2 linked regions of the Danio rerio genome follow. The protein of the gene in region 2 interacts with the protein of the main gene of each other region in a biochemical or structural test. Links are inferred from orthologs where the notes say so. Each region holds a gene or a part of one and is shown on either strand. Other genes may lie near its edges.

Region 1 (8,453 bases), on a different chromosome or scaffold from region 2:
ATCTCTCGCTAATTTGGTTCTTCAAACAAGTTCGCGAATCAGATTAGAATGTCTGGATAAACTGATCTGAGATCGCTGCATGTGTTGTGAAGGACAGATCTATCGATCCTAGAAATCATGATCAGCAGTGCAACGATTGGCTGACGGCACAGCAGCGTAATGACATCATCTGATTAATATTCAATTATTCATGTGAGCAAAATTACATCAAATTAGCAGCAAACCGTTTATTAAATATGACACGCAATAACCTTCCACATATGTTGTGAGCTGCAGGCTTTATACTGTCATGTGTCAAGAGTATTCATCATGTATTTCAATGCATATCAGTGTATTTAGTTCTACATTTAGACAATATTGTCTATATTATTGTAGCCGTTTTTTAATCGGTGTAAAGAATAACTGGTTGTTTACAAAAGCATTTTCATATTGGTAAAGGCGTCTGCAACTATTGTGAAGCATCAAATCACCGGCATATTAACAATCAAAACATGTTTATGACTGCATAAATGTATTATTGCTTTAAAAAAAATCACATATTCTGCATTTCTATCACACAATTTGTACTAAAGCGATCTAAAAAGTTCATATCAATAAGTTTTCTCTTTGCACCACCAGGTGGCAGTATTTGTACTTTCATTTCGAGGGTGCAGATTGCATACGTTTTATTAATATGTATAACTTTATTTATTTTATTAATGACTATAACTTTATATATAGTTAAAAAATATGTACCATTTCCCAAGTGTCTATAACTACTACTGTAAGAAAATATCAGAATTCAGAACATACTTTCTGTATTATCTTTGCTTGAACTAAGCCGATCTAATCCTGTTTATATGAATTGAACCTGCTCCCGACCAGGTTTGACCTAGCAGAACTGTTGCCATGACAACAACTCTCTGATCAGCTTTGAAGAACGAAACGATCCTGGATCATGTCAAATCGTCAATATCCAAATCCAGCTAACTGAGTAATCCACGTACGAAGAACGGACCCCTGGTCACAGATTTGGTACGGTTCGTAAATAAAAACAAAAACTTTACAATACAAAATGAACACAATATAGCAAAGATAAAACTGAAATACACTGTGCTTTTAGGGTTTGTCATGCACCTAACAGCAGTTTTCAGGCTTTTAAATCTACTGAATACACATTTAAAGCTCTTTAACATTCATTATTAATCGGCTACTGAGTGTCTGATGTTGTTTGCGCTGAATCACAGTTCTGATGTTCATTCTCGAAGCGTCTGCTAGCTATTTGATTATCTAGATCTGAGGTGAACGATCTGCTGCTGCTGTCAGTACGGCGCTGAATGACACGTCACGTGTGTTTAAACTCAGATTGGCAGCATTTAACATTGAATAAAGCACATAATCAGTGCCTGAGGTGATCATGGTGTAAGTCCAGACTCGGTCCTGGAGGGCCGGTGTCCTGCAAAGTTTAGTTCCAACCCCAATCGGACACAGCTGGCCTAGCTAATCAAGCTCTTACTAGGCAGTGAAACATCCTTGCAGGTGTGTTGAAGCAAGTTGGAGCTAAAATCTGCAGGACACCGGCCCTCGGGGACTGAGTTTGGACCCCCCTGGTCTTAGTTTATGCTGCTGTATATAGAACTAGAAACCAAAATAGAGACAAATTCTTATATCATCTTAAATGGTTAGCATAGGAACTATTTTTAAACAGAACAGACAGCTTTAGTCTCTTGTTTCAGCACTGCGTCTTGCGTGTGCTACCTGGCATCAGTGTGGCCTGTGGAGACGGCTGAGACGCCAGCAGACACCCGAGTGGCTCACAGTGAGCCAGAACTCGACTGCCGCCCGTCTGAGACACCAGAACCGCCTTGGAGAAAACATAATGCCCAGAATCCTGCCTCTGAGATGAGGACAGAGACGCCGCCTGAGACGAGCCCGCTGACGCCTGCGCTTTCCACCGACGCAGCTCCTGAAATACACAGACAGACACACACACACACATCTGAGAACTGGAAAAGCTGATGATGATGATGATGATGATGGACTAAACAGAGAGGTGTATATAAGCCAACCTCCCATGATAATACACTCACTTTAATATCTATTCAATTCATACGAGTAGATCTGATCTTCTCTGCTAAACAGCACTTGGGAAATATTTAAGACAGAATTCAAATATCCCAGCAGGGCTGCTGATTTCATCTTCCGCTGTAATGAACGTGTTGACGCACCTCGACTTCTTTGCGCAGCCGCGTGTTTTCATCCACCATGAGCTGCAGCTGCTGCCGACACTGAGCCACCTCCAGCTGCTCCATCCTGCGAGAGCCCTGCTCCAGCTCCAGACGACTGCACACAACCAGCAACATAAACATCATCAGCTCTGCCTCCAGCCAACTATACTGATGCGTTCCATCACAGCTAGTCACAAATAAACCCCCATCATCGTCATCTTGATGGTCTTCAGTGAGCGTGAACGCACCTCTTGAGCCGCACCTCCTCTGTGTTGTCCAGCGCCTTCAGCCTGCGCGCGTACAGGAAGATGATCTGAGTTTTCTTGGCTGGTTTATTACACTGAAAACACACAACAACACCACTAATATAACCCAGGATCCTCTGTCAGTGTCAGGGCATCTACAGAGAGCCACCAGTTCAGTTTCAGCCGTTGTGATACCTTATTTAATACAAGCGTATATGAAATACAGGACCATGCAATGAAAATGCACATGCATACACAGTGTTCAGCATAACTGAGCCGAGCGCTCACAGAACTCGCACTTTCATTCATTTTCTTGTCGGCTTAGTCCCTTTTAGAGGTCTGCATTCCCCCGGGCGCCGCAGGACCCGACCAGATTTCTGCGGCGCAGGAATAAATTTCTGAATAAATCGCGGGAGCGGTCGGTAACGGGTTTAATTTGGGACGGGAGCGGGCTATTAGGATAATGTAGGATATAAGGATATAGTAGGATATAGCTATGCGAATGAGAGAGAGAGAGAGCTTTGCCTGTGTGTGTGCTTGGTGCTGTGTGAGTGTGTTAGTGCACGAGAGAGAGAGAGAGAGAGAGAGAGAGAGAGAGAGAGAGAGCTTTGTCTGTGTGTGTGTGCTTGGTGCTGTGTGTGTGTTAGTTCGCGCAAGTATGAGAGAGAGAGCTTTGTCTGTGTGTGTGTGTTAGTGTGCGCGCGTATGAGAGAGAGAGAGAGTTTTGTCTGTGTGTGTGCTTGGTGCTGTGTGTGTGTGTGTGTGTGTGTGTGTGTGTGTGTGTGTGTGTGTGTGTTAGTGCGTGCGCGTGCGTATGAGAGAGAGTTTTGTCTCTGTGTGTGTGTGTGTGTTAGTGCGCGCAAGTAAGAGAGAGAGAGCTTTGTCTGTGTGTGTTAGTGCGCGCAAGTATGAGAGAGTTTTGTCTGTGTGTCTGTGCTTGGTGCTGTGTGTGTGTTAGTTCGCGCAAGTATGAGAGAGAGAGCTGTCTGTGTGTGTGTGTTAGTGTGCGCGCGTATGAGAGAGAGAGAGTTTTGTCTGTGTGTGTGCTTGGTGCTGTGTGTGTGTTAGTGTGCGCGCGCGTATGAGAGAGAGAGTTTTGTCTGTGTGTGTGTGTTAGTGTGCGCGCGTATGAGAGAGAGAGAGTTTTGTCTGTGTGTGTGCTTGGTGCTGTGTGTGTGTGTGTGTGTGTGTGTGTGTGTGTGTGTGTGTGTTAGTGCGCGCGCGCGTGCGTGCGTATGAGAGAGAGTTTTGTCTCTGTGTGTGTGTGTGTTAGTGCGCGCAAGTAAGAGAGAGAGAGCTTTGTCTGTGTGTGTTAGTGCGCGCAAGTATGAGAGAGTTTTGTCTGTGTGTCTGTGCTTGGTGCTGTGTGTGTGTTAGTGTGCGCGCGCGTATGAGAGAGAGAGTTTTGTCTGTGTGTGTGTGTGCTTGGTGCTGTGTGTGTGTTAGTGCGCGCGTATGAGAGAGAGAGTTTTGTCTGTGTGTGTGTGCTTGGTGCTGTGTGTGTGTGTGTGCTTGGTGCTGTGTGTGTTAGTGCGCGCGTATGAGAGAGAGAGTTTTGTCTGTGTGTGTGTGCTTGGTGCTGTGTGTGTGTGTTAGTGCGCGCGTATGAGAGAGAGAGCTTTGTCTGTGTGTGTGTGTGTGCGCTTGGTGCTGTGTGTGTGTTAGTGTGTGCACGCGCGTATGAGAGAGAGAGTTTTGTCTGTGTGTGTGTGCTTGGTGCTGTGTATGTGTTAGTGTGCGTGCGCGTATGAGAGAGAGAGCTTTGTCTGTGTGTGTGTGTGTGCTTGGTGCTGTGTGTGTGTTAGTGTGTGCGCGCGCGTATGAGAGAGAGAGTTTTGTCTGTGTGTGTGTGTGTCTGTGTGTGTGTGTGTTTATACAGACAGCTTGGCTGTCTGGACTGTATAGTTGGGTGATTTTCGGTTTTGTTCTCCCCCGCTCTTTAGCAGGATCGGGCGCGGCGTGCAGAAACCGGGGCGGGTCGGGCAGCGGGACAACAAATTCTTAATATAAGCGGGATATATTCTTAATATATTTAGTCGGGTTCGGGCTAAAACCTGGCGGATGCGGGCGGGATTCAAAATTTAGTCCCGCGCAGATATCTAGTGCTTTTATTAATCTGGGGTCGCCACAGCGGAATGAACTGCCAACTTATCCAGCAAGTTTTTACGCAGCGGATGCCCTTCTAGCCGCAACCCATCTCTGGGAAACATCCACACACACACTCATACACTACTGACAATTTAGCCTACCCAATTCACCTGTACCGCATGTGTTTGGACTGTGGGGGAAACCGTAGCACCCGGAGGAAACCCACACGAAGGCAGGGAGAACATGCAAACTCCACACAGAAACACCAACTGAGCCGAGGTTCGAACCAGTGACCTTCTTGCTTCTTGCTGCACTACCTACTGCACCACTGCCTCACCAGAACTCGGACTTGATATAAAACTCATTTGTTTACATGGAGCGCTCTCGTTTATACTGAGCACTGTATACATGAATACACATGACCGTCTATCCATCCATCTGTCCGTCTAGCTGTTCAACAATACGGATATTTTCAACTGCCCAGTCAGATCTCTGCCAAGATATTCTAACACTAACAATCTCCCTGATGGTCATTAGAGTCAGCCATGATGGTGTTTCTTCATGATGCAGCAGGAGATGGAGGCTCACCTGTGGGCATTTGTTCCCTCCGCCCGTGAGCCAGCGGGAGATGCAGACGTAACCGAACAGGTGCCCGCAGCGCAGAGCGGCCAGGCGGTGCTCACCTGCTGTGGTCCAGGGTTCAAAACAGATGGAGCAGGACTCGCCTTCAGTGTCTGCTTCATCTGCTGCACCTGCGGGAGACGCTGCGGCCGAGCCGGAGGAGTCTGAGGATGCCTGAGACCAGGAGAAACACAACATACACACTTTACTGCGCAGACAACACACACTCTACACTGTTCACTGTGCAGAGAGCATGCGTTTCAGACAGACTCCACACTCTGCTCACCTCCACCTCTGTTTTCAGCTCTACTGCGGGAGCTTCAGCCGCTGCAGGAACACTGGGACCTGCTCACACACAACACGAACACAAACAGCTCGACAATATTACAAACACTTCTGATTTATTATGCTTTAATACAAAGTCTAGATTAGACTACTAGCTTATACTTAAAACAGAGTCAATTATTCATGAATTCATATTTATACAAGTCAGTTATTTATATATTTCTATGATCGATTATGTTAATGACATCATTTAATCAACTGTTACCTGACAGATTTCAGTCAACCAATAGTTATAGTTCATTTAAAACAGCCATGGAGACACAGCAGAGGAGATGTGCTGCTTAAATGAGGCGTGCTAATAAGAGCATTCTCAGACCTGCAGGGCTGCTGGTCTCCGCTGTGGACTGGACGCGGCTCTGGTCGGCGCTGTCGCTGGAGGCTGGCTCAGGATCAGTGCGTGTGTCCGGCGGGTTGTGCGTGTCCGGCGGGTTGTGTGTGTTCTGGAGGAGCGTCTGAATCCTCCGCACTCGCTCCGCATGAGGACGCTGACTGACAACACACACACACACACACACACACACACACAAAATGACAATCATTCCTCAATGAAAACACAACCAGAGCTATTTGTTCACTTCACACTTAAAATTGATCATGTAAAATGGTACTTAAAGGAGTTTTAAAAAGCCTTAGTGATGTCTCCAGAGTGTGTGTGTGTGTGTGTGTTTGAGCTGAGAATAGCACACAGATCATGTTCTCCAGCTCTCTGAAACTGACCATTTCAGGCTTTGATCCTAATTGTGGCATTTTGGTGACTGTCGCCTTAAATGCAAATGAGATTTAGAAGTGGGCGGAGCTACAAGTGCCTGTGTGACTATTGAGATTCAGAAGTGGGCGGAGCTACAGGCACCTATGGGACTAATGAGATTCAGAAGAGGGCGGAGCTACAGAGGCCTGTGGTACTAGCGGTGTTGTCAGTGCTGTGCATGTGTGTTGATGATCTGTCAGTCTATGTCGCTCCTGTCTCTGTGCATCTAGAACTGCACATCTATAATCCTCTGAGTCTATGCTGACGTTATCTTCAGCAGCTCAAACACTCTAATGGCTAATGGACAGACGGCTGCTTCTCACTCAGGGCTGCTGGATATGCTAATGAGATGGGGAGACGGGCTCTAGTGTTCAGTGCTGTGGTACCTGATGATCTGTCTCCTCCTGGGGGCTCGCCGCAGCGGCAGTCTGGACCGGTCCTCCGGCACGGACGCGGCGACATCGTTTTCTTCTTCTTCAGTGCTGCTGCCAGATTCAGAGACCATGACCACCTCCATATCCTCCATCCTCAGAGAAACCAGCACTGCGGTACAGACACCAACAACAATACTGCAATCATTCAATGCATGACATCACTACTTTACATGTCAATCAAACGCAAACCAGCCAATCAGCTCACCATGGACAAAATCAAGCCCCGCCCACTTTACCACAGGCAATGCTTGTGATGTCCCAAATAAAGTGGGTCTCAGATTGTACAAGAAGCACTGCGTTACATTTTCCCTGTCGTTTTTTTATAATATGAACATTTATTTCACCACAGTATATTCAATGGAGATTCTGCGCTAACCTGCTGATTCTGACGGGTACGTCCGAGTAAACGGTATTTTGTCTCGTTTTACGCTTGAGCAACTGAAGTCTGTTTAACTGATTGTATTTTAATTACATTACAACATCAATGCTGTAAACGAAACCATATCAAATAGAAAATAGTGTCAATAACCATCAGTGAGAGAAGAAACACCAACTCTGCATACACCCTAAAGCCATATATGCAGCTGTATGAAGAGGGAATTATGAGCAGGGCTGGACGTCACTTCCACCAGCAAATGTGCGCTTCATGCTGAATACGAGAGTGAAAGCATGCTGAAATATCACAGAGAGCTGTTTATCCGTCCGGGAAATTGAGCGAAGTTACCATCTGATCATTCCTTCATCTTTTAACCTTATAATATGTTGTATAAAGCCTGTTGTTGTGTTCATATCTGCACTGAAACCTTGACAGAAAGATCAACATAGATCTGCTTCATGATCTGACTGCAGGCCCGGTGTTGTGAAGAGAAATGAACGCCTGTGGTAAATGCACACGCCACCTTCATTCTCAGTCTACATTTAAAAATAATCAAAGGCCAAAACTGATTAAAACGTCGGCTAATATGATTATTATTTTGATGGATCAAGCTATTTTAAAACTAGGTTTACAAATAAATGAAAAGCTCAAATATTGACTGCAGTATAGACTGCTGTAATGAGGCCGTTACTAAAATTAGGCCTTTTGGTGACTTTTAAATGAACTGAAAACAAAATTGGTGCAGTTTTCAACTAAACCACATCTTAAACACATCACTTTAATTAATCTGACCAGTGTTGTCTTTAAAATGAATATATTTATTTATTTAAATATACATCTTCTGTAAGGGAAGGGTTCCTTCATGAAACTCACCTCAGTCATTAGTTGTCATAACTATTATTAATTTTTAAAATCAATTTAAGTTAATATATGCACATTTCAGAGGGGGTGCATTTCTTGGCACAACACTGGTTCGTCTGTCATTCCTCTATAATGTAGGCCTATAGTGCATACTTCTAGCTAAAGGTTTTTTTAATAAATTGATTATTTCAATAGATAGTTTGTTACAAAACTTGACAACTGAAATGAGGATATGTATGAGAAAGTCGGACCTCTCTGATTTATATTTTGTGATGATGTCTGTGGGTTAAAGTGTGCATTTTTGCTTATATATATATATATATATATATATATATATATATATATATATATATATACATATATATATATACATATATATACACATATATATATATATATATATATACATATATATATATATACATATATATATATATATATATATATATATATATATATATATATATATATATATATATATATATATATATGCTGAATAAAAGTGTACAATTATACTTAGCTTTTGAC
Region 2 (9,124 bases):
CACAATCGATGTGTTGGGACAACATGAAGGAATTCATTCATTCATTCGTTTATTTTTCTTTTGGCTTAGTTTCTTTAGTAATCAGGGGTCATCACAGCGGAATGAACCGCCGACTTATCCAGCATATGTTTTACGCAGTGGATGCCCTTCCAGTTGCAACCCATCACAGGGAAACACACATACACACGTACTCTTCACCATCAGCACATGTTTTGTGAGGGAAACCAGAGCACCCGGAGGAAACCCAAACAAACAGAACATGCAAACTCCACACAGAAACGCCAACTGACCCAGCCGAGGCTCGAACCAATGACCTTCTTGCTGTGAGGCGATAGTGCTACCCACTGCGCCACGTGTTGGTGTGGGTTTCCTTCAGGTACTCCAGTTTTCCCCACAGTCCAAACACATGCGCTATAAGTGAATTGAATAAACTAAATTGGCCATACTGTATGCGTGTATGAATGTTTCCCAGTACTGGGGTTGCAGCTGGAAGGGCATCCTCTGTGTAAAACATATACTGGATAAGTTGGCGGTTCATTCCACTGTGGTAACGCCTGATGAATAGTGACTAAGCCGAAGGAAAATAAATGAACGAATGATTGAACTTGAACAAGCAGCAATGTTTTTGAGTGTAGTCTAGATTAAGTAAAATCTTAATGAGTTAAAAGTTAGGGTAGACTCTCTCAAGAAACAATTAAGTGAGTTTATTTAACATAACATTGGATTATTCAACTTAATATACTTTCCCAGAGATGGGTTGCGGCTGGAAGGGCATCCGCTGCGTAAAAACTTGCTGGATAAGTTGGCGGTTTATTCCGCTGTGGCGACCCCGGATTAATAAAGGGACTAAGCCGACAAGAAAATTAATGAATTAACTTAATATACCATTATATTATGGGGCTGCCGAATTCTTGATTCTGATTGGCTGATGAGCAGGCAGTTATTTTCAGATAAAAGCACAGCTGAAGTAGTTCCGGCAGGTTTTTAAGCAAATTACAGTTCCATATCTCTACGCCGAATCTAAATGATGAGTTATTTCACAGCTACAACACACAAATCACATCAGAGCACTCTAAAAAAACAAAACTTTACATTAGACAGCTGAGTAAATCCATTTTTTACAGTCAAAACTTTGGATGAAATGTGTGAGAAACTACAAAAACCTGTTAGATAACCATTTCTCTGAATTTTAAGAGGCTTAAAAACTAAAAGTGGAGTTGTAGCCAGTTACTTGGAAAAACTACATTTTTCTAAAAGTAAATATAACAGCATTAAATAAGCTGTCTGTTGCTGAAATAAAGTAAACGCTGCGACATTTGTCTCAACAAGTTATTATTACATTGTCTAACTCAGTGCTTCCCAAAGTGGGGGTCACGAGACAATAACATGGGGGTCGCTTGGTGATTTTAAAAAGTCAAATAACTTTTATTAAACTATTAGAATTACCATATTTTATCATGGAGGATGATCTGTGATTGGTGGTCTCCAAACCTAAACTAAGAATAGACTAAACATAGAATAAACATTGTGCCCACCAGCCTCATTGGGTAAGGTTAATATTAAATAAAACAAATTAAAAAATGACTATAAATATTTTAAGCAAATTACAGTTCCATATCTCCAATCTAAATGATGAGTTATTTCACAGCTACAAGACACAAATCACATCAGAGCACTCTAAAAAAACAATACTTTACATTAGACAGCTGAGTAAATCCATTTTTACAGTCAAGACGTTGCATGAAATGTGTAAGAAACTAAAAAAATCTTTTAGAGAACCATTTTTTCAAATTTCGTGAGGCTTAAAAACTAAAAATGAAGTTGTAGTCAGTCACTTAGAAAAAAATATATTTTTGTAAAGAAAATAAATTAAACGCTGAGGCATTTGTCTCCTCAAGTTATAATTAGATTGTCTAACTCAGTGGTTCCCAAAGTTTATATTCGCACATTTGTTCATTTAGCAGTCTCTATATTGTTTACCATGTTACTTTGAATATTCGATCGGAATTAGCATGCAAGTTTGACTTCTAAACAATATTAACACTGTCTAATTCACTGTGAACAATGTTGTACTTTCATAATCATTTGCTGCTAAAGTGCTAATATGATTTCCCTATTTAGAATTTGCAAAGAATACTTTTCTGAAATTATATTATTAAGGAGAATGTCTGAATATCTCAATTTAAACCAGCTTTACCTCTATGGAATTATGTGGAACCCTGCATATTGTACAGTGCATGAAGAGACTTAGGATGAAATGTGTTAGAAATCAATTTCTTCGATTTTAAGAGGTCTAAAGTTAACAGCAACGTTAGTCATAAAGTTATTTTTCATAAAGAAAATATCATGGCGTTAAATAAGCTGTCCAACTATCTGGTCAATACTGCCATCTAGTGTTTCATTGTGGCATTTCTAACTGTTTTATCTTATAGAGCTAGTGTAAAAAATAAAACAGTATGCAATAGTATAATATATATAATTCAGTATACTATATAAATAATTTTAAAACCTAGCTATAAACATTTAAACGACTATATTTTAGTACTCTCTAACTTAGTGTTCCCAAAGTCTGCCTCCTGAAATTGTATAACCTTTTATTCCAGTAAATAAACTCAAAATAAGCTGTAACGTTACCCTAGTACGTTAAAAGAAATCCCGTTGAATCCCTGGGTGCTAAGTGTAACTGTACATGACATAATTCACTCACATACACTGATGAAACACTGCATTGACAGTCAGTGACTATGAGAGAGCCAAAGTAGAAGAGAAAAACTTTACCGAATGAACAAAAGGCCGCTTTGCAGCTTCTGTCTGAGCTCAATAAAGAGGACATCTGTGTTCGCAGTCTCTTCCATTGGTATTTCTTTACAGAAGCTATGGATTCATCGATTCTACTCATAAATCCCACGCGACACACAAAACAACGTGACGACAAACTGTCTGCGACACCGTCATTTCATATTAAGAGTCTTCAGAATTCAGTTTGCATCTGTTCAGTGTTAACGTTACTTTTAAAAACATTTTAAAAAACGCTGTTTTCAAACATATTTGGACAGTTATTATAATTATTTTATTTTAATATATAAACAATATATGACTGGGCTTAGCCCGCTTACATGCTTTAACTATTCCAAAACATATGAGAACGAGCGTAAACGTTTTAATGTAAATTTCAGTGAAGAAAGATTACAGATTTTTTGTTGTTTTTATTTATTTTTTTATGCTTTATTTTTATTTAAAAACAATTTTAACAACATACAAGCTTCTGTGGACTTTTACAGTATACGTGTGGGACTTTCGCGGCAGATGACACACGCGCACGCGTACTGTGAGCGCGCGGACTTCGAGACGTGACGTCAAACTGTGCGCGATCAGTCGTGGCGGGAGATTTTCGAGTGTCTTGTCGGTCTGCTTCGCATTCAGAAGAAAAACATTCACGAGTGAAATGTGGAACCAAGGTACGTGCTTTAGAAATCACTTTATTTTGGCTTTAGAGCTGAGTTTACTCTGCTAGTCCGCTAATGAGAGTCAGAAAGCTCTGTTATACAGTGTCAGTGTGATGTCGGTTAGCGGTGTGTTGTCAAGGTCTGTTTTTAACGCACTCTTACGTTACTGCCAGTCGGACGGGGTTTTTAACCAATAAGTCGTTTTGATTGAAATATGGTATTCATATTTTTGCAGGTAAATACGGAGAGGCCAGTATGGCTGGGTACACACAGTCTCCTGGAGGATTCGGGTCACCAGCCGCTTCTCAAGGAGGAGACAAAAAGGGGGTCAGTATATAAATAACTTTAAACACCTATATATATATATATATATATATATATATATATATATATATATATATTGAGGTAAAGTTGGTTTTATATTCGCACATTCGTTCAGTGACAACTTGTGACATGCTCCTCATATTGTTTACCATGGTACTTTAAATATTTGGTCTGAAATCACTTGTAAACATGACTTCAAAACAACATTAACACCATTTATTTGACTGTAAACAATGCTGTACTTTGATAGTCACTAGCTGATAATATGATTTTAGCATTTAAAATTTGCATAAATACTTTGTGACGTTTTATCTTTAAGGAGAATGTGCGAATATTAAACCCACCTTACCTCAATTGTGTGGGGTTCATATTAAATTCCTCCAATACCATATTTAATTCTGTTTAAATATTTAATTGCAGTTAATACGACTTGAGTATATTTTGTTTAAACTACATATATTTGTAAATATTACCCATAGTTTTCTATAATAGCACTTTTAACTTATCCCTATATCGTGCACTTTCTAAACTGCATTTTGAAATGACAAAAAAAGTAAAAAATACAAGTTAAATGTTCACTTCAATGTTTCAGACTATTTTTGTGACAACGAAATGTTAAAAAATGTGTGAAAAAATTGTTTGGTATTAAGCTCAACAAGTTTTTGTGTAATTAAACAAAAGCAAATACCTGTTATGTACTTCCTGATTATATAGTTAAAAGAGTAATTTAATAAACTAAATTTGGTTATAATTTAACTTTTTGTTAACAAATGGGTAAAGTGAAATGTTTTGCAGAACAGTTAATAAATATTAAGATTTCAAATGACAGGTATAAAATTTAGAGTTTGAGACTAAACTAAATTTAGTGGCCATCTTATGTAACTTGAAGTAAATTGAAATAAAATATTTATTAGTTGTTATTTTTGTTTATTATTATATTTCTTTGCTTAAAATAAAAGCGACACATCGTAAAAAAAGTTAAAACAGACAATAGATTTGCTCAAACTATTTTTTATTATCATTTAATGCACTTTTTAATACAATACAAGCCTAAACGTTGAGTTTAAGCTATTAAGCTAAACATTTAAGCTATTTTCTGTTATTTAAAAAATAAATAAAATATAAAAGATTTAGAAATTCTTTTATGAAGTATTTAATTTTCATTGCCAAAATTGTCTTTGTCTTTCATCTCAATGTTTAGGTCTGTTTTTGCTTGTGTAAATACTGAATAATATTTAATAAGGTATATAAATCATATCTTTTATAGAAGGTTTTTTCAGTATATTTCAATAATTTTCAAGTCGCTGTTTAAATTTAGGCAAACAAACTTATAACTTTAATGCAGTATTGATATGTTTGGGGACAATTCTGTTTGTGTAAAAATAATACGACTTTCACTATTTTGGCCTAATACATCTTTTGTGTAGCTGTTAGAATGACCGTAGAGAGAGTAGTATTGTTATTTTAACAGTACTTATTTGAGTCATTATCGTGTTGTTTAAGTGATTATGAAAACAGTGGGAAATCAGTGTAGTATTGTGATCTTCATGTGTGATGCTGTAAAGTGTAACAGTGATGTGTGTGTGTGTGTGTGTGTTCAGAGGACACGAGCGCAGCAGATCGTTCCCTGTACTGTATCTCAGCTGTTGTCGGCGGTGCAGGCTGAGGACGTCTTTAAAGTGGGAGAGGTGGAGATCGCACAGGTCAGTCTGAAGAATCACTAAATATCCACATTTTTATTGAAAGGGTTTCCATTTTATGGAGCCAGATCAGTCTCAAAAGTAATATATTTATAAAAAAGAATTCATTCACATATAAAAAATCTAATTCATAACTTCAAAACACGATTCATCTCTTATTACATTGTATTTAAAGTGCTGCATTGTATGTGGTTTGGATGTTTTTATTACATTACATATACAATAATAAAAAAAACAAATAAAAGAATTGCCACCCTAGTTTAAAGGGATTGTTCATCCAAAAATGAAAATTTCCTCACTCTTTACTCTCCCTCAAGCGTTTCCAAACCTTTGTGTTCAGTTCTTCTGTTGAAGAAGATATTTTGAAAGATGTTGGAAATCTGTAACCATTGACTTCCATTGTAGGAAAAACGAATACTATGTAGGGATGTAATGATTCACCTGACTCAAGAGTTTATTCACAATACACAATTTATTCATGATTTTTAAACAAAACTATTCGAAACAAATTTAAGGTAAAGAGCTCTTTCATTCCTTATTTAAATGCAGCACATCGTTTGCAAAATAATAATTTTTTAAAATTTAAATTAATTGTAATTTAATTTTAAATTAAAAAATAAAATACAAAGATAATAGAAACTAAAGAAGACTCGTTAATAGAAACAAGCTAAAACTGTGACTGTGCTGGCGTTTTGCATTTTTAAAAAAGAAAGAAATATCAGCAAATCTTTGCTTTCTGGCATAAGCTGAGGCCTTTGCATATTTACAATGTGTCCTGCTGATGAGAAAAACTGTTTCACTGAGATGGCTGGTGTGGAGAGGAAAGCCTTTGCTAAACCAGAGAGCAGGGTGTACAGAGGGGGTCAGTAGGCCGTCTGATCCAGGGGACTGGCTACTGACAGACAATACTGATTAGAAAATTACAAATTGTATATCAGGATAGCAAATTTAGATGCTAATTTTTCAATATGCATAAACTAATTTGAAAAGGATGGTAAACATAGTCTAATACCTGCTTCTATAACAGAACAACTTTCTCTTTCAGTCGGAAAAATATCTTCACACTTTCGTTACGAAAACACTGATGCACTGTCTGAGCTCCGTAGCACTCTTCGGAGGCGGAGCAAGTGGAGCTTCAAATCATCCAGTCTGCTTGGTGTGACTTATTATTAGTGTTTTTGAGTATAGACGTCTGTGACTGTAGTTTTCTCTGTGCTGATGGTTTATGTGCATCATATTCATGTTCTGTTAGTGTAAGTAAACCTCTTTTTGCAGTATTTGCACACACTTTGTGTTTTGTCTGGTGCACTTCAATGCTGTCATTTTACTCTGCCGCCCCACCTCTTGCTCGCCGCTGACATGCCAGTACAGCGGTATATGTGTGAACCTACACTGGTTTCATGGTTCGGTTACGATTATCATGCCATCGGTTCGGTTAAATTCCATATCACTGTTCATTGACGATGCTTTCCATACAAAATTTGATATTTTACTTAACAGCACAAGAATTCTTTTCTAAAAAATGTATAAATATATTTATATTTCTATACTATTTGTAATACAGTTTTGTCCTTCAATACAAAGTCAGAACTGTCCTTTTAAAAACTCGAGTACATGCACAGAACAACATGAGCATTTATAGCAAATGAACAAATGTAAATATCCTGCTCACTTTATGAGCCCTGTCGAGTAAGTTCTTAAACCCCTATGATTGGTCACGCACTCAACAGAAAGGGCTGCGATTGGCTCTAATGCTCTGGTGCTGTTCACCGTTGAGTGACGTTGATAACGGCATCAGCGATTTACAGCTGATCCATGACTGATGCAGAGGATAAAACTCTTCTGCAGACACACTCGTGTCTGAAGCGCTGTAACTGCCAAGAGGAGAGGAAATGTCTTGCCACCAGGTGAAATGGCAACATTGAGGGAGAGAAATTAAGGCCCAATCCCAATTCTATTTTTGTACCCCTTTCCCCTGGTCCTTACAAGTGAGGGTTAAGGGGAAGGGCTTTAAAATTTACCCCTAAGAATTAGGACAGCACCTGCACACATCATCATGTCCTCGCGATCTCTTGCTTCATATGAGATCAGATGATGGCGACTGCTGGAGTGATTCCAGTTGTGTTATTTATTGGTATTTATCTTCAGGAAATCACTGAAGGCATATATTATGTTATCATAATGATCTAATGTGGCAATGAGATCGTAATACTGTGCATTTACACAGTGGCCATGTTCATCAATGTAAACACACCAAAAACAGCATGAACATTATAGCAGACACTGTAAAAAGCCCATTCCCAGCCATTAGACTTTTCTGACAGGGTATTCCAGTGTCATCGAGTGTCAGAGTGTTGTGGGTCTGCTGTACTGAAGTTATTATTAGGAATTATAGATCGCAAAAAAAATCACAAAATTTAGCAGTTTTTATTTTAGCCCTTTTTTTTTTTTAAGCATGACGGTAAAACATGAACGCGGTTAAGAATATATTAAGACGTGTTTGTTTGTTGTAAAAATTCGTAATAATGACAAAAAAAAATACAAATTTGTGGATCTCCTTACTTCCGGGTGCAGCTGTTGCTGGGGTATTCTGGGAAATGATTCTTACCTCTTGGTTTCTAGTGTGGTCCTAAAAAATCTTTGTTTGAAGGGGTTTATACCCCTTGCTCTTAGCCCTACGCCTTCAAGCTAAAGAGAATTGGGACACCCCTACCCCTTCGAGGGCATACGCAAAACGAGGAGTAGGGGGAAGGGCTAAGGGGTAGAATTGGGATTGGGCCTACGTTTACTTTTATTTTCTCAATCGCAGTGAAATAGGAGCTTCTGCTGTAACTTCAGTCACAGTGAAAGACTGTCCAGCAAACACACACACAGTGAATTGTGCCATTTCTGTGTTTTTAAGTAGTTGGAGCATTTTAATTACTCGCCTCCCTCGCCATAGTAAACAACCACAATCGCAGTAAGCGCATATGAGATAAATACGTAATAACCGGTTATGATCTATTACTAAACCATTACCGAATTTTCCACGTCTGCATTGCGGTGAACAGAAGAAACAATTAATTTTCGCTATAAAGCGAGTTTGTGCCTTTAAACACAACGCCCCCTCTGTTCACAAAATGCATAATGATTAATTCCACATTTCTACCAACTTAAGTCGTCACATATTTAAAGCGATTTTTGACCGGCTTACGGTGAATCGTTACATCGCTAATACTATGACAATCAATGGTTACAGTGTTTCAGCTTTCTTCGGTTATGTCTTTGTGTTCAACAATAGAAACTCAAACAGGTTTAAAACAAGTGAAGGATGAGTAAATTTTTAGTTTCGGGTGAACTGTCTCTTTAACACAAACAAAAGCATCAATAGCAATGCAACACTGCATTGTTATCCTTTTTATACTTCTGTTTATTAGACTCATGTTGTGCTTGATACGGTGTAGGTGACCATTGTTGGTGTGATCCGAAGCACGGATAAATCCACAATCAACATCCAGTACAAGGTGGATGACATGACTGCAGCCCCTATGGATGTCAAGCAGTGGATTGACACAGAGGTACTGTTGCAGTGTTTTTGTGCATTGTGATTTTAGGCCATAGATATGAGTAGTGCTGGGAGGTATGTCAAGTTCTGGGGATATATTGATATGTTTC

What was found.
Region 1: the proteins of rpa2 (region 2) and rfwd3 form a complex in vitro, tested with the Homo sapiens proteins (3 studies listed by BioGRID, with this or other methods). The link is inferred for Danio rerio from reciprocal best matches to the Homo sapiens genes RPA2 and RFWD3.

Annotation. Positions count from the first base shown.
Region 1 is NC_133200.1:39,977,441-39,985,893, forward strand, and holds part of rfwd3 (E3 ubiquitin-protein ligase RFWD3), read right to left. Parts: intron 8,145-8,453; 5' UTR 7,462-8,144; intron 7,055-7,461; 5' UTR 6,781-7,054; coding exon 6,641-6,780; intron 5,996-6,640; coding exon 5,823-5,995; intron 5,507-5,822; coding exon 5,448-5,506; intron 5,336-5,447; coding exon 5,129-5,335; intron 2,548-5,128; coding exon 2,456-2,547; intron 2,323-2,455; coding exon 2,208-2,322; intron 1,946-2,207; coding exon 1,738-1,945; intron 1-1,737. UniProt on the Homo sapiens protein: E3 ubiquitin-protein ligase required for the repair of DNA interstrand cross-links (ICL) in response to DNA damage. Plays a key role in RPA-mediated DNA damage signaling and repair.
Region 2 is NC_133191.1:4,968,320-4,977,443, reverse strand, and holds the start of rpa2 (replication protein A 32 kDa subunit), read left to right. Parts: upstream 1-3,311; 5' UTR 3,312-3,445; coding exon 3,446-3,458; intron 3,459-3,681; coding exon 3,682-3,773; intron 3,774-5,371; coding exon 5,372-5,473; intron 5,474-8,913; coding exon 8,914-9,027; intron 9,028-9,124. Other genes in the region: ube3d (E3 ubiquitin-protein ligase E3D), read right to left, coding at 2,779-2,855. UniProt on the Homo sapiens protein: As part of the heterotrimeric replication protein A complex (RPA/RP-A), binds and stabilizes single-stranded DNA intermediates that form during DNA replication or upon DNA stress.